Linked DNA regions of Ovis aries. The protein of the gene in region 1 interacts with the protein of each later gene in a pairwise test. Links are inferred from orthologs where the notes say so. Each region holds a gene or a part of one and is shown in the gene's direction. Other genes may lie near its edges.

Evidence for each region.
Region 2: the proteins of LDLRAD1 (region 1) and ADGRG7 interact in binary tests that used the Homo sapiens proteins (3 or more experiments, as listed by UniProt). The two-hybrid records come from large-scale screens. The link is inferred for Ovis aries from reciprocal best matches to the Homo sapiens genes LDLRAD1 and ADGRG7.
Region 3: the proteins of LDLRAD1 (region 1) and MAL-like protein interact in binary tests that used the Homo sapiens proteins (3 or more experiments, as listed by UniProt). The two-hybrid records come from large-scale screens. The link is inferred for Ovis aries from reciprocal best matches to the Homo sapiens genes LDLRAD1 and MALL.

What each region holds. Positions count from the first base shown.
Region 1 is NC_056054.1:28,540,063-28,543,709, reverse strand, and holds part of LDLRAD1 (low-density lipoprotein receptor class A domain-containing protein 1), read left to right. Parts: exon of another isoform or gene 1-302; coding exon 303-431; intron 432-2,262; coding exon 2,263-2,661; intron 2,662-3,647.
Region 2 is NC_056054.1:165,965,190-165,969,588, forward strand, and holds the start of ADGRG7 (adhesion G-protein coupled receptor G7), read left to right. Parts: upstream 1-1,500; 5' UTR 1,501-1,741; coding exon 1,742-1,856; intron 1,857-4,399. UniProt on the Homo sapiens protein: Orphan receptor.
Region 3 is NC_056056.1:104,672,668-104,676,314, reverse strand, and holds part of MAL-like protein, read left to right. Parts: intron 1-1,223; coding exon 1,224-1,346; intron 1,347-3,647.

The sequences.
Region 1 (3,647 bases):
AGCAGGTGTCCGTGTCTCCTTCCTCATCTCCTGGGACTCATGGAAGGACACGGGGCTTAGGGGGTGGAGCCGAGACCTGGGGCCCTCGTCCCGACTGCCACTCACCAGCTACTGGATGTGGGCCAGGCCCAGGCGTTTGGTGGAGTGGGTCCACAGGCAGAGCTGAGAGCCTCTCAGTGGGCTTGGGAGCGCCCTCCTCCAGGGAAGCCTGTCCTACCCCAGGACCCCAGTGAAGAGGGACCACTTGTAGGGCTCAGGGCAGGGGACTGGCTGCTCCATCACGGGTTTCCCACCCCACACAGCGAACTGCAGCCCTTGCTGCTGCTCACGCCGAGGGGCCTGCCTCTCAGCCTTCCTGATGCTCCTGCTGACCACTCTTGCAGCTCTGATCGCCCTGGTCGCCATCCTTGGACCCCCACCTCGCACACCAGGTCAGGGTGGGCAAGAGAGAGTGGGTCAGACTTGTTGGGAGGGTAGAGGGAACACAGAGTGACGGGGAAAACTGATCCTGCCTGGCTTCTCCACAAAGTGACTTCTGAACAGTCCCTTAGGGTGCATGTACAAACACACACTGACACTGACAAGCACACACCTCTGAGCTTCCATCTGCACATCTGTAGCTTGAGCTGTTGAAGTGGACCCAGCTATGATGCCACCTCCTCCAGGAAGCCTTCCCCTGCCTGCCTGGTTTAGGAGCCTTGTTTCAGCTCCCATTGCTCTCACACTTCCTCTCCCCCCAAGCCCAATCACCCAGAGTGGTGTTCTCCTTCTGTGTGTCTGTCTCGACCACAAAGGACAGGGACCTGTCCAGTACATCCCTGAGGCCAGGCAGGCTTCAGCAGTGAGCCCCAACACCAAACGTGACCTCGCGGAGCTAACAGTTTGCAGAGTGACATGGAGGTTAACCCAATAAGCACTTTAAGGCAGGCTTAGTGGGAGCTCTGAGAGTCTGGGATGGGGCTCTGGCCAGTCCAGGGGTCAGGATGGGCACCTTGAGAAATGAACGGCACTGAAGCATGAAGGGAAAGCGGGGTTGGTTGGTGGAGGGGGTGGCGGGAAAAGCATCCAGGCACAGGGAACAGCATGTGTGGGGTGGAAGGAAATATGAAGAGAAGGTTAGTGGGCTTGATGGACAGGGCAGCGGGTAGGGCCAGGGGCCCTGGGCCCAGCGCCTCGAAATCTGCACTGGGGAAGGAGGTCACCATCTAGAGAGCCATGGGAAGGAATTAGCTGGAGGTGGGATGTCACCAGACCTACCTTTCTGAGAGATGTCTCTGTTGCCTAGCAGGAGGTGCTAAAGGAACACAGTGAGAATAGGGGTAGAATCCATGGTACCCTCGTGCCCGTGCATGGACACTGCGGGTAGATGTGAACACAGGAAGAGCTGCCTCCATGCACGTACCTGAGTGTCTGTGTGTACATGTGTGCAAGCATCTGCGTGTATGCACATGTTTGTATGTGCAGGTACATATCTGTGTGTGTTTGCCCTTGTGTGTGCATGTCTGTGTTTGTGCAAGTGTGTCCAAGCGTGTATGTCTGTGGGCAGTTGTGTGTGTGTGACAATGTGCCTCTGAGAGCCAGCCCCCTCATACTAGCTGAGGCAGTTCCAGGAGATGAGCTGTGATTCACATGCGCACAGACCCACATAAACTCGCCCCTACCTCCAACCCACACACACGTGTGTCTGTGCGCACAACCCGCAGAACTGGACCTCCAGGCTCCTCTGTCAGTTTCTCTCCCCTAATTCTTTGGAGCAGCCCCAGGGCTGGGTGCTTGACGCAGTGGGACAGAGGGAAGACTCTCAAAGGGACAGACACTCAGACGGTCCCCATCATTCCTGGGCACTGCGGAGGCAGCCCTACCTCAGGAAAGAGAGAGGCAGCAGCCTGGTTATTAGCTGTGTGGCCTGGCCTCTCGAACCTCACCGAGTCTTACTCTTCTCATCTGTAAAATGGGGCTAGTGACGGCATGTCACAGGAGGGTTCAGGGAAACAATAGAATAAAAATGTGAAGGTGTTTGCAGGCTGTATAGCTGTCCCAGATATAAGGACTGTGGCATAACGGTCGCTAGCTGGCCCCAGGATGTTGCCTCTGACACCCTCACCTGCACCAGGAGCCCTGCTATGAAAACCCCATCACTGGCTTGAGGCCTGTCCTGAGGAGCTTCCCGTGAGATGGTTGTTCGATAGACATGGGAACCATGACTTTCTCTGCACTCTCTCCAGGCTTATTCACACAGAGACTTTTGTGTAATCTCCCCAGCAGTCCCACGGGGTGTGTGCTATGCTCCCCACTTTGGAGACAGGAACCTGAGGCACAGAGAGGTCAGGTCACCTGCCCATGGTCACACAGCTGGCAAGTGGTTGAACTGGGGCTTGCACGCCATCTTCAATGCCGAGCTCAGGGTCCTCCCTGTGGCCCCAGGCCCTCGCTGCAGCTCAGGTGGGGCTCAGTGGGGAGAACTTGGTGATGCCCTTGTGAACACCACCCTTGACCCTTCCGGGGCTGGCCCCGCCCACTCAGGGGCCCAGGCCTGTGTGACGCAGACAAACAGGACGGGCTTCCTGTGCAACGACCGGAGCAGCTGCATCCCGGCCAGCAGGGTCTGTGACGGCGTTCGCACCTGTGCCCGCAGCGAGGACGAGGAGGAGGCCTTGTGCCGTGAGTACCTACGCCAGGGCCCCTTGAGAGCTGCCCCAACTCCAGCTCTCCCTGCAGCCAGACTGAAGCTCGACCACCCTGAACGTACCAGGCACCCTTGTGTGCTTCTATGCCTTTGGTTGTATACTGCCAGGAACATTTTTTCCCACCCTGTCCCAGTCACATGCACACACATACGCCCACACAAGGGAATGCCTCCATTCTGGGTCTTGAGAAACTTTATGCAACCCTCATGGCAGAGTTCAAGTGTTACCTCCTCCAAGGAGCCTTCTCTGACTCCCAAACTAGATGCTGCTGCTGCTCAGTCGCTTCAGTCGTGTCCGATTCTGTGTGATCCCATAGATGGCAGCCCACCAGGCTCCACCATCCCTGGGATTCTCCAGGCAAGAACACTGGAGTGGGTTGCCATTTCCTTCTCCAATGCATGAAAGTGAAAAGTGAAAGTGAAGTCGCTCAGCTGTGTCCAACTCTTAGCGACCTCATGGACTACAGCCCACCAGGCTCCTCCATCCATGGGATTCTCCAGGCAAGAGTACTTGAGTGGGGCGCCATTGCCTTCTCCACAAACTAGATGAAGTTTCCTTTACTGGACTCTCATAGCCCCTGTGCTTATCTGTGTCCCAGCCCCAGTCACATTGATTGTCAATCTCGTTTGGCATGTTTGCCCCCACCATCAGACTGTGAACTCCTCTGAGGCAAACCTAGTCTGCTTGGTCTTGGGGCCCAGGGCCTGGCACAGGGCTCTGCACAGAGAAATATCTGGAACGATTTGTTGAATAAATGATGAAGTTAGTGAATCAACCAATGAATGAATGGGAAGGTCTAACCCCAGACCTTAGACCTGACAGTTCTCAAGAGAGAGGAGTTGCCACAGAGGAGGGAAAGAGATCGGTGAGTTAGAGTGGGTGGGGCAGGGTAGCTTATGAGGGAGGGTCATTGCTTCGTGAGCTCTCAAGACAAGAGGAGGCCTTAAATTCATCTAGCCC
Region 2 (4,399 bases), about 140 Mb from region 1:
GATATGCAGATGACATCACACTTATGGCAGAAAGCAAAGAGCTAAAGAGCCTGTTGGTGAAAGTGAAAGAGGAGAGTGAGAAAGTTGGCTTAAAACTCAACATTCAGAAAACTAAGATCATGGCATCTGGTCCCATCACTTCTTAGCAAATAGATGGGGAAACAATGGAAACAGTGTCAGACTTTATTTCTGGGCTCCAAAATCACTGCAGATGGTGACTGCAGCCGTGAAATTAAAAGATGCTTACTCCTTGGAAGAAAAGTTATGACCAACCTAGACAGCATATTAAAAAGCAGAGACATTACTTTGCCAACAAAGATCCATCTAGTCAAAGCTATGGTTTTTCCATTAGTCGTGTATGGATATGAGAGTTGGACTATAAAGAAAGCTGAGCGCTGAAGAATGGATGCTTTTGAACTGTGGTGTCAGAGAAGAGTTTTGAGAGTCCCTTGGACTGCAAGGAGATCCAACCAGTCCATTCTAAAGGAAATCAGTTCTGAATATTCATTGGAAGCATTGATGCTGAAGGTAAAACTCCAATACTTTGGCCACCTGATGTGAAGAGCTGACTCATTGGAAAAGACCCTGATGCTGGGAAAGGTTGAAGGTGGGAAGAAAAGGGGATGACAGAGGATGAGATGGTTGGATGGCATCACTGACTCAATGGACATGAGTTTGAGTAAGCTCTGGGAGTTGGTGATAGACAGGGAAGCCTGGTGTGCTGCAGTCCATGGGGTCGCAAAGAGTCGGACACGACTGAGTGACTGAACTGAACTGATTTGCCGTGAAGTGATGGGAGCAGATGCCATGATCTTAATTTTTTGATTGTTGAGCTTCAAGCTAGCATTTTAACTCTTCTCTTTCACCTTCATCAAGAGGCTCTTTAATTTCTCTTCACTTTCTGCTACTAGAATGGTATCATCTGTCTGTCTGAGGTTGTTGCTATTTCTCCTGGCAATCTTGAGTCCAGTTTGTGGTTCTTCCTCTGCTGCTGCTGCTGCTAAGTTGCTTCAGTCATGTCCGACTCTGTGCAACCCCATAGGCGGCAGCCCACCAGGCTCCCTCGTCCCCCCTGGGATTCTCCAGGCAAGAACACTGGAGTGGGTTGCCATTTCCTTCTCCAATGCATGAAAGTGAAAAGTGAAAGTGAAGTCTCTCAGTTGTGTCCGACACTTAGTGACCCCATGGACTGCAGCCCATCAGGCTCCTCCGTCCATGGGATTTTCCAGGCAAGAGTACTGGAGTGGGGTGCCTTGCCTTCTCCACCTCTGCTAGAGGCTCCTAACAAAAAAGAGGAAGCTAAGCTATAGGTGACCCTCCAGGTCCACTGCCTTCCTGACTTTTAGGTTCTTTTTTGTTTCTTTTTTTTTTTTTCCTTCCCTACTTTTTGCTTGTCAGGACATTTGCACTTTGACTCTGTTAGCTATCCCCTCCCTTTCTCCTTTATTGCCCTGAGTTATCTTTCTTCCTCATAACACCAATCATTTTTTGCATGATCCCATTCAGTGAAGGATGAGGAAATAGCAAGCAGACTGTGTTCCTTTTATTAGGTGATTCGAACTGCTTCCTGCCTGATTAACCTCAATAATCCTAAAAAAAAATTGAGGATATCTGACTAACAGAACCCTGAGAGAAGGAATTGTGGTTTTTTTAGAAGAGTTTTTGATTAAAGTTCTTGGCTGAAGAAGAAAAGAAGCCAGTTGTCTTTCGCCCAGACGTTGGTTTGTGGTTTGGACTCCCCATGGCTTCCAGCCATGCCTGTAACCTCCGGGTGCTGGTGGCCGTTGTGTGTGGGCTGCTGACTGCTGCTGTTTTGGGACTGGGCATCTGGAGGCTTGTGATCAGGATCCAGAGAGGTAATGTTGTCCTGCTGTTTTTAACTCAGAGCAAGAGAAGGCATTGAGCCTCTCTGCTGCCACCTGACATACCAGGACTAGAAAGTGCCATGTCTAGGCTGAGGCTGCCTGCCATTTATGAAATATAAAAGACAAGGGTCCATTTATGGCTAGCATATGGTTGTATATACATGAATATGTGAGTTCATGTGTGTGTGTGTGTGTGTGTGTGTGTGTGTGTGTGTATAAGTGTTCAAGGTGATGAACAACACAGTTGAATTGGCCTCTTCGTGCTCCTTTAACACCTGATTAAATGAATAGCAGAGTAATAATTAAGATCATTAGTAGCACATGTTTAGGTTTGTTAAGCTAAATCCAAGCTTAACACACTTCCCTGCTAGCTCAGCTGGTAAAGAATCTGCCTGCAATGTGGGTGACCTGAGTTCAATCCCTGGGAATGATCCCCTGGAGAAAGGAATGGCTACTCACTCCAGTAGAATTGCCTGGAGGATTCACTAGACAGAAGAGCCTAGTGGCTACAGTCCATGGGGTTGCAAAGAGTCAGACATGACTGAGTGACTTTTCACTTTCATTTTCTTTCAAGGAAGAAAAATAGTTTTGGACACACACATACACACATAATTAAACATATGCAGAATGAAAGTTCATTTCAAGAAGAAAGTTTAGGAATGTTCTCACTAGGGCTGTAAATAAAATGACCATGTTTTTCACACAAACTTCCCACTTTTCAGGTGTTGAAAGCTACTTAAAAATTAAGATCATTTAGAAAACAATTTTCCTGTTTAGTCAATAGACATTTGTTAGTCACCTGTTACATGGTAGAACTGACCCTGAGAAAGGGAGGTAAAGGGCAGCAGTGTTGAGCAAAGAATGATGTTAAAGGAAAGCTCTAGAACCTTGTAATAGAGACTTCCCATAATCCTAATGCTAGTCCCTTTCCATAAAGGGATTCAAAGCTGGATGTTCTGAGCATTCCCTTTTATTTAAAAAGAGATAGAGAGACAGAGATAGTTTCTAATGAAACGGTGGGTGAGGACAGAAGATTTCAGGAAGAAGGTTGGGGGACCCAGCAGGAACACAGGGCATACCTGCAAAGATCCACTGTTGAGAGCAAAAGGAGTCATGAACGTTGGCTGCTTATGGAGTGATAACTGAGAATAGACCTGGTGTTTCTCCCCCAAAGACTGTATTTAGAGAGCACAGTATTGGTAGGGTTTAAAGAACAAGCGAGAGAAACTTTATCAGAACAAAAACAGTAAAATTCAAACTTGATGAAAATTTGTTTTTGTTTATTTAAGGTTTGTAAAATAATTTGAGGTTTAAAAAAAAATATGCACCGCAGGTTTTATCCTATTAAGGCTACTAAATTGATAAGAGCTTATCTAAAGGACATACTTTTAAGAACTGCCTCCCTTCCTTCCCTCCCACCTCCCTTCCTTCCTCCCCTTCTTTTCTTCCTTAATAAGATATCTACTTTTAAAGGGAAATTTGTGGTAACTTATAAAGACCACAGCTACAATAGACCCATTAAAACAAGGACCAAAGGACAAAACACTACAAGGAAGAGGACAAGACTGAGGTTAGAAAGTAAATGAAAATCAAACGAGTTGCTAAAAACAAATGCAAAACATATCCCTGTGTTTCCTGAGGACTAAGCCAAAAATGCATAATAATAAGTAACATAGATCCAAGTAACATAATAACAGAGAACCCATGTTTAACAATAAAAGCTTACCAGCTCTTCAGAAAAGACAAAGATTTCCTTGCTCTAGCAGGTTTTTTTTTTTTAAGATGGCTTTTTATGTAAGGGCCATCCCTCAGTTTTGGGTAAACCCAGTGGAAAAGAAGGGGGTTATCATCTAAAGAGAAAGATTGAAATGCTGGTACTGTTTGCTGTTACTGTTTTGCCTTGTACACGATAGTTGGGCATTGCCTCAGTTAGGAAGTTCTGGTTCCTCCACTTCATTCCTTTCCTCTCCACTTCTCTGCCACCCCTTTCTATCCTGTCCCATTCCATCTCATGGAAGTATCGAATGCTCTCCCTTTTGTCCCTTTGCTGGGAATAGAGATGAATTGTTGTTTTTGTGATTTTAAAATTTTGGCTGCACTGGATCGTCATTGTGATGTGCGGGCTTAGTTACCCTGCAGCATGTGGGATCTTACTTCCCTGGCCAGGGATTGAACCAATGTATCCTGCATTGGAAGGTGGATTCTTAACCACTGGACCACCAGGGAAATCCCAAGATGAATTGTTTTTAAACTTATTTTTTTAAGGGGAGCGTCTTGGGTATCTCTGAGAAACTGATGAAAACTATGAATGTCTTCCCTAGAAAAAATAAACATATACATACCATTTCTGGTAAATTAATTTGATCACATTCAAAATTTATTTTCAATATAAACAGAATATGTTCCCATGGTTTATGTTTAATATAATGTTTAAGCAATTATGTCTCTCTCATTTTTATTTTTCATGAAAAAGTAATAGCCTCTGTATGAAAAAGTAGAAAAAAATTTAAATTCTGCTGTAAGTAAATTTCAAT
Region 3 (3,647 bases), on another chromosome or scaffold:
TCATGGTTCTCTCTGCCAGTGACTTGCTGAAAAACCTGGGTGGTCAGCTGTCCTGTAGACCAGGGGTCCCCCACCTCCAGGATCTAATGTCTGATGATCTGAGGTGGAGCTGATGCAATAATAATAGAGATAAATTGCACAGTAAATATAATGCACTTGAATTATCCTGAAACCAACCGTCCACCCACGGTTCTTGAAAAAAAATTGTCTTCCACAAAACCAGTCCCTGGTGCCGAAAAGCCTGGGGACCACTGCTGTAGAAGGTCCCACATTTTGGTTTGTTTGCTTTTTCCTGGTGTGATTTGCTCCTCTAGTCCCTGAATTTTCTGTAAGCCAGAAGTTAGTATCTAAAGGCTAAACAGAAATGGGTTAAACCTTTCTGGCAAGGATGCTTCATCAGTGTCTCCAAGTCACATCACACATGGTGACTGGTGGTCCTTCTTTCACGGTGACAACCTTACCCCATCACTCTTTTCTCCAATGTCCCCTTTCATCTTCTGATGCATATTCTTTAGGGGTTGCAAAATGCCAATTTGCCTATTATGATATTCCTTCCAGAATACTGTAGTATTCTTATGATGTTAAAGAACACTGCTGAGAGTTTAGCACAAAGGTTCAAAGATGGACGGAAATCTAGAGTCAGATTAGCCCGACTCTGCCGTGTGTTAGCTAAGCCTCAGTCTTCTCATCTTTAAAGTGGGCATGTTAATAGTAGCTGCCTTATGAAATTAGCTGTGAAGATGAAATGACACAAGTGTGTACAGTTAGGAAAACACCTAGCAAACAGCAGGCCTTCATCGCACTAACAGTTGCGGAGCACAAGCTTGGTGTTAATGTGGCCCGGTTTCAAATCCTGGCTCAGCCTCTCGTCACTGACTTTAACCTTGGACTTCTATTTCCTCAAAATGGCATTAACGATAAATAGAACCAACCTCATAGTTCACAAGTTTCCATGAGATAAATGAGGAAAAGATTTAGCCTACATTTTGACCGGGAAGAAGCACTCAATAAATCTTGGCTCGTACTGGTACTGACATTTATTTAATCCACTATTGCTCACAACATAGAAATTGTGCTAGGAACACTGAGAAAGCAAAAAGCGGGAGTTTCGGGAGCAGGCTTGTCTCTTTGGCCTCCTCTGGCCAGAGGCTGAGTCAGAGGAGAAGGTGTTACCGCTTGCGTGCCCGAATGACAGTGGCTGTGCCCCCGCCGCGTCTTTCTAGGACAGCCTGTATCACGGGACCACGGGCATCCTGTACATGAGTGCCGCCGTGTTACAAGTGCACGCCACCATCGTGTCAGAGACCCAGGACCTGAAGAACTACTATATAAACACTGCAGCCTCGGTGAGTGCTGGACAAGGGCACGGCAGGCAGCACCAGGGAGGGAAAGCCAGGGGCTCAATTCTGTCTCCTCTGGAACAGATGACCCCACATCCTCAGACTGAAGGAGTCCTGAGGGAAGGGAGGGGTGTGTGTGCGCGTGTGTGAGAGCGCGTGCGTGCACACAGATGCGTTGGCAGTCAGGTGTGCCCAAGCTCACAGGGTGCCAAGCCCACGTGTAGGTGTCATCTCTCCTCCTGGTGGCTCAGACAGTAAAGAATCTGCCTTCAATGCAGGGAGACCGGGGTGCAATCCCTGGGTAGGGAAGATCCCCTGGAGAAGGGCATGTCTACCAACTCCAGTATCCTTGCCTGGAGAATTCCAGGACAGAGGAGCCTGGCAGTCCATGGGGTCGAAAGAGTTGGACATGGCTGAGGGACTAACACTTCACTCACACCAACTACGCTGCCCTCAGAATATGTTTCCAAAATGCACATCTCTTACTGAAAATCCTTAGGCCTTCCCTGGCAATCCAGTGGTTAAGACGTCACTTTCCAAGGCAGGGGGCGTGGGTTCAATCCCTGGTCAGGGAGCTAAGACCATCAGGCCTCATGGCCCCCAAACCAGAACATAAACAATAGAAGCAGTATTGTAACAAATTAACTAAAGATTTTTCAAAATGGTCCACATAAAAATTTATTTAAAAAATGAAAGGAAATCCTTCATTGGCTCCTTTTTCTGGTGGAATGGACCTCAATTCCTCCTCACGGCTCAAGTTCCTGCGTCCTTCTATTTCAGTCCCCCTATTTCCACGGGGTTACATACTGGCTGATGGAATCCAAGGCAAGGTGGTCCAGAGGAGTTGTGGCCCAAGCGGGACTTCTGGGCCTCGGGCTCACTGCCTGCCTGCCCGACAGCCTTGCCAGGCCCTGAGTGTGGCTGCTTCCCTCTCTCTGGGGGATGGCGCCCTCAAGTGGTACATGGCTCACATGACCGGTGGTGGGTTCCTCCAGTGTGAGTCTGTGCGCCCACATGTGCTCCTAACCCTCCTTACTCCTTCTCAGGAAGTTCTAAGGCCCAGGCTGGGTCCCACCCCATCAGCTCCAGTCTCTGTGGCCAGAAAAGTGCTGTGTCAGTCAGGTTCCCCAGGGATCAGGCAGCAGCAGGCGGGGGTGTGATATGGGGTGCTGCCGCCCTTGTCAGAAAGATACCAGGCCAAGGCGGTGACCCTCCAGGACGCCCTTCCTGCCTGTCTGCCTCCTTGCCCCCCAGCCCAGCACCTCTCTGCCTCCCACCACTCGGGGTGCTGCTCGCCCTGCTCAGGGGCCCCTGTCGCAGCCTCCTTGCTGGCCCTGGACCCCTCTCACCTGGGCCTCGGCTTCCAGCTCCCTCACCTCCTCCTGTTCTTCTCTCACTTGTCACCTCTCGGTGAGGCCGCCACTCAGCCCCACTCAGAGCAATAGCTCCTACTTCTCTCCTGGTTTATCTTGGCTCTTTTCTGCATGTGCCACTAAGATGCAAGTTCCATGAGGATAGGAATTTTTGAATTTTTGTTCACCATCAGATTCATGCCTGAAGCATGCGTGCTCACGCTAAGTCGCTTCAGTCTTGTTCAACTCTTGCGACCCCATGGGCCCTAGCCCGCCAGGCTCCTCTGTCCATGGGATTCTCCAGGCAAGGATACTGGAGTGGGCTGCTATGCCCTCCTCCAGGGGACCTTCCCGAACCTGCGTCTTCTGCTTCTCTTGTGTCTCCTGCGTTGCAGGCAGATTCTTTACCACTGAGCCACCGAGGAAGCCCATAGCAGATGCTTACAAGATATGTTGAATGAATGAATGAAACAGAGTGTGATTGGACAGGGTGGGGCAAAGGGAAGATGGAGTCCTCCGCTGGACTGAGAGATCATTAGACAGTGCAGCCGGGTATCTTTGGGAATGGCTTTGGACATGGCCGTCGGGGAGGGAGGGGTCGGGGGGAGCACAGGTTTTGGGCTTGGGTAGCTGGACAAGATGAGGATCCTGGGATCAACTGGGCTTGTGAGGGAATCTCAGGAGTTCAGTTTGACCAGAGAGCTTGTGGGGCCTCTGAGCCTCTGAAGATTTAAGAGGTGGTGCGTAGAATCGAGTTCTGGACCTCTGAGTGAAACTCTCATTTGAGCACAGACTGTGGCTGAAGGTGGAGGAAGGGGTGAGTGCCCAGAAAGAGGCGAGGGCACCCAGGGCGGGCATGGAGATGGGCCCACTTTATGGCAGGTAGAGGGGCCCAGGTCTGCAGGTGAGAGTGATGCTGCACAGCCACCGTGGGACAAGGGGTGGAGTGCTTCAG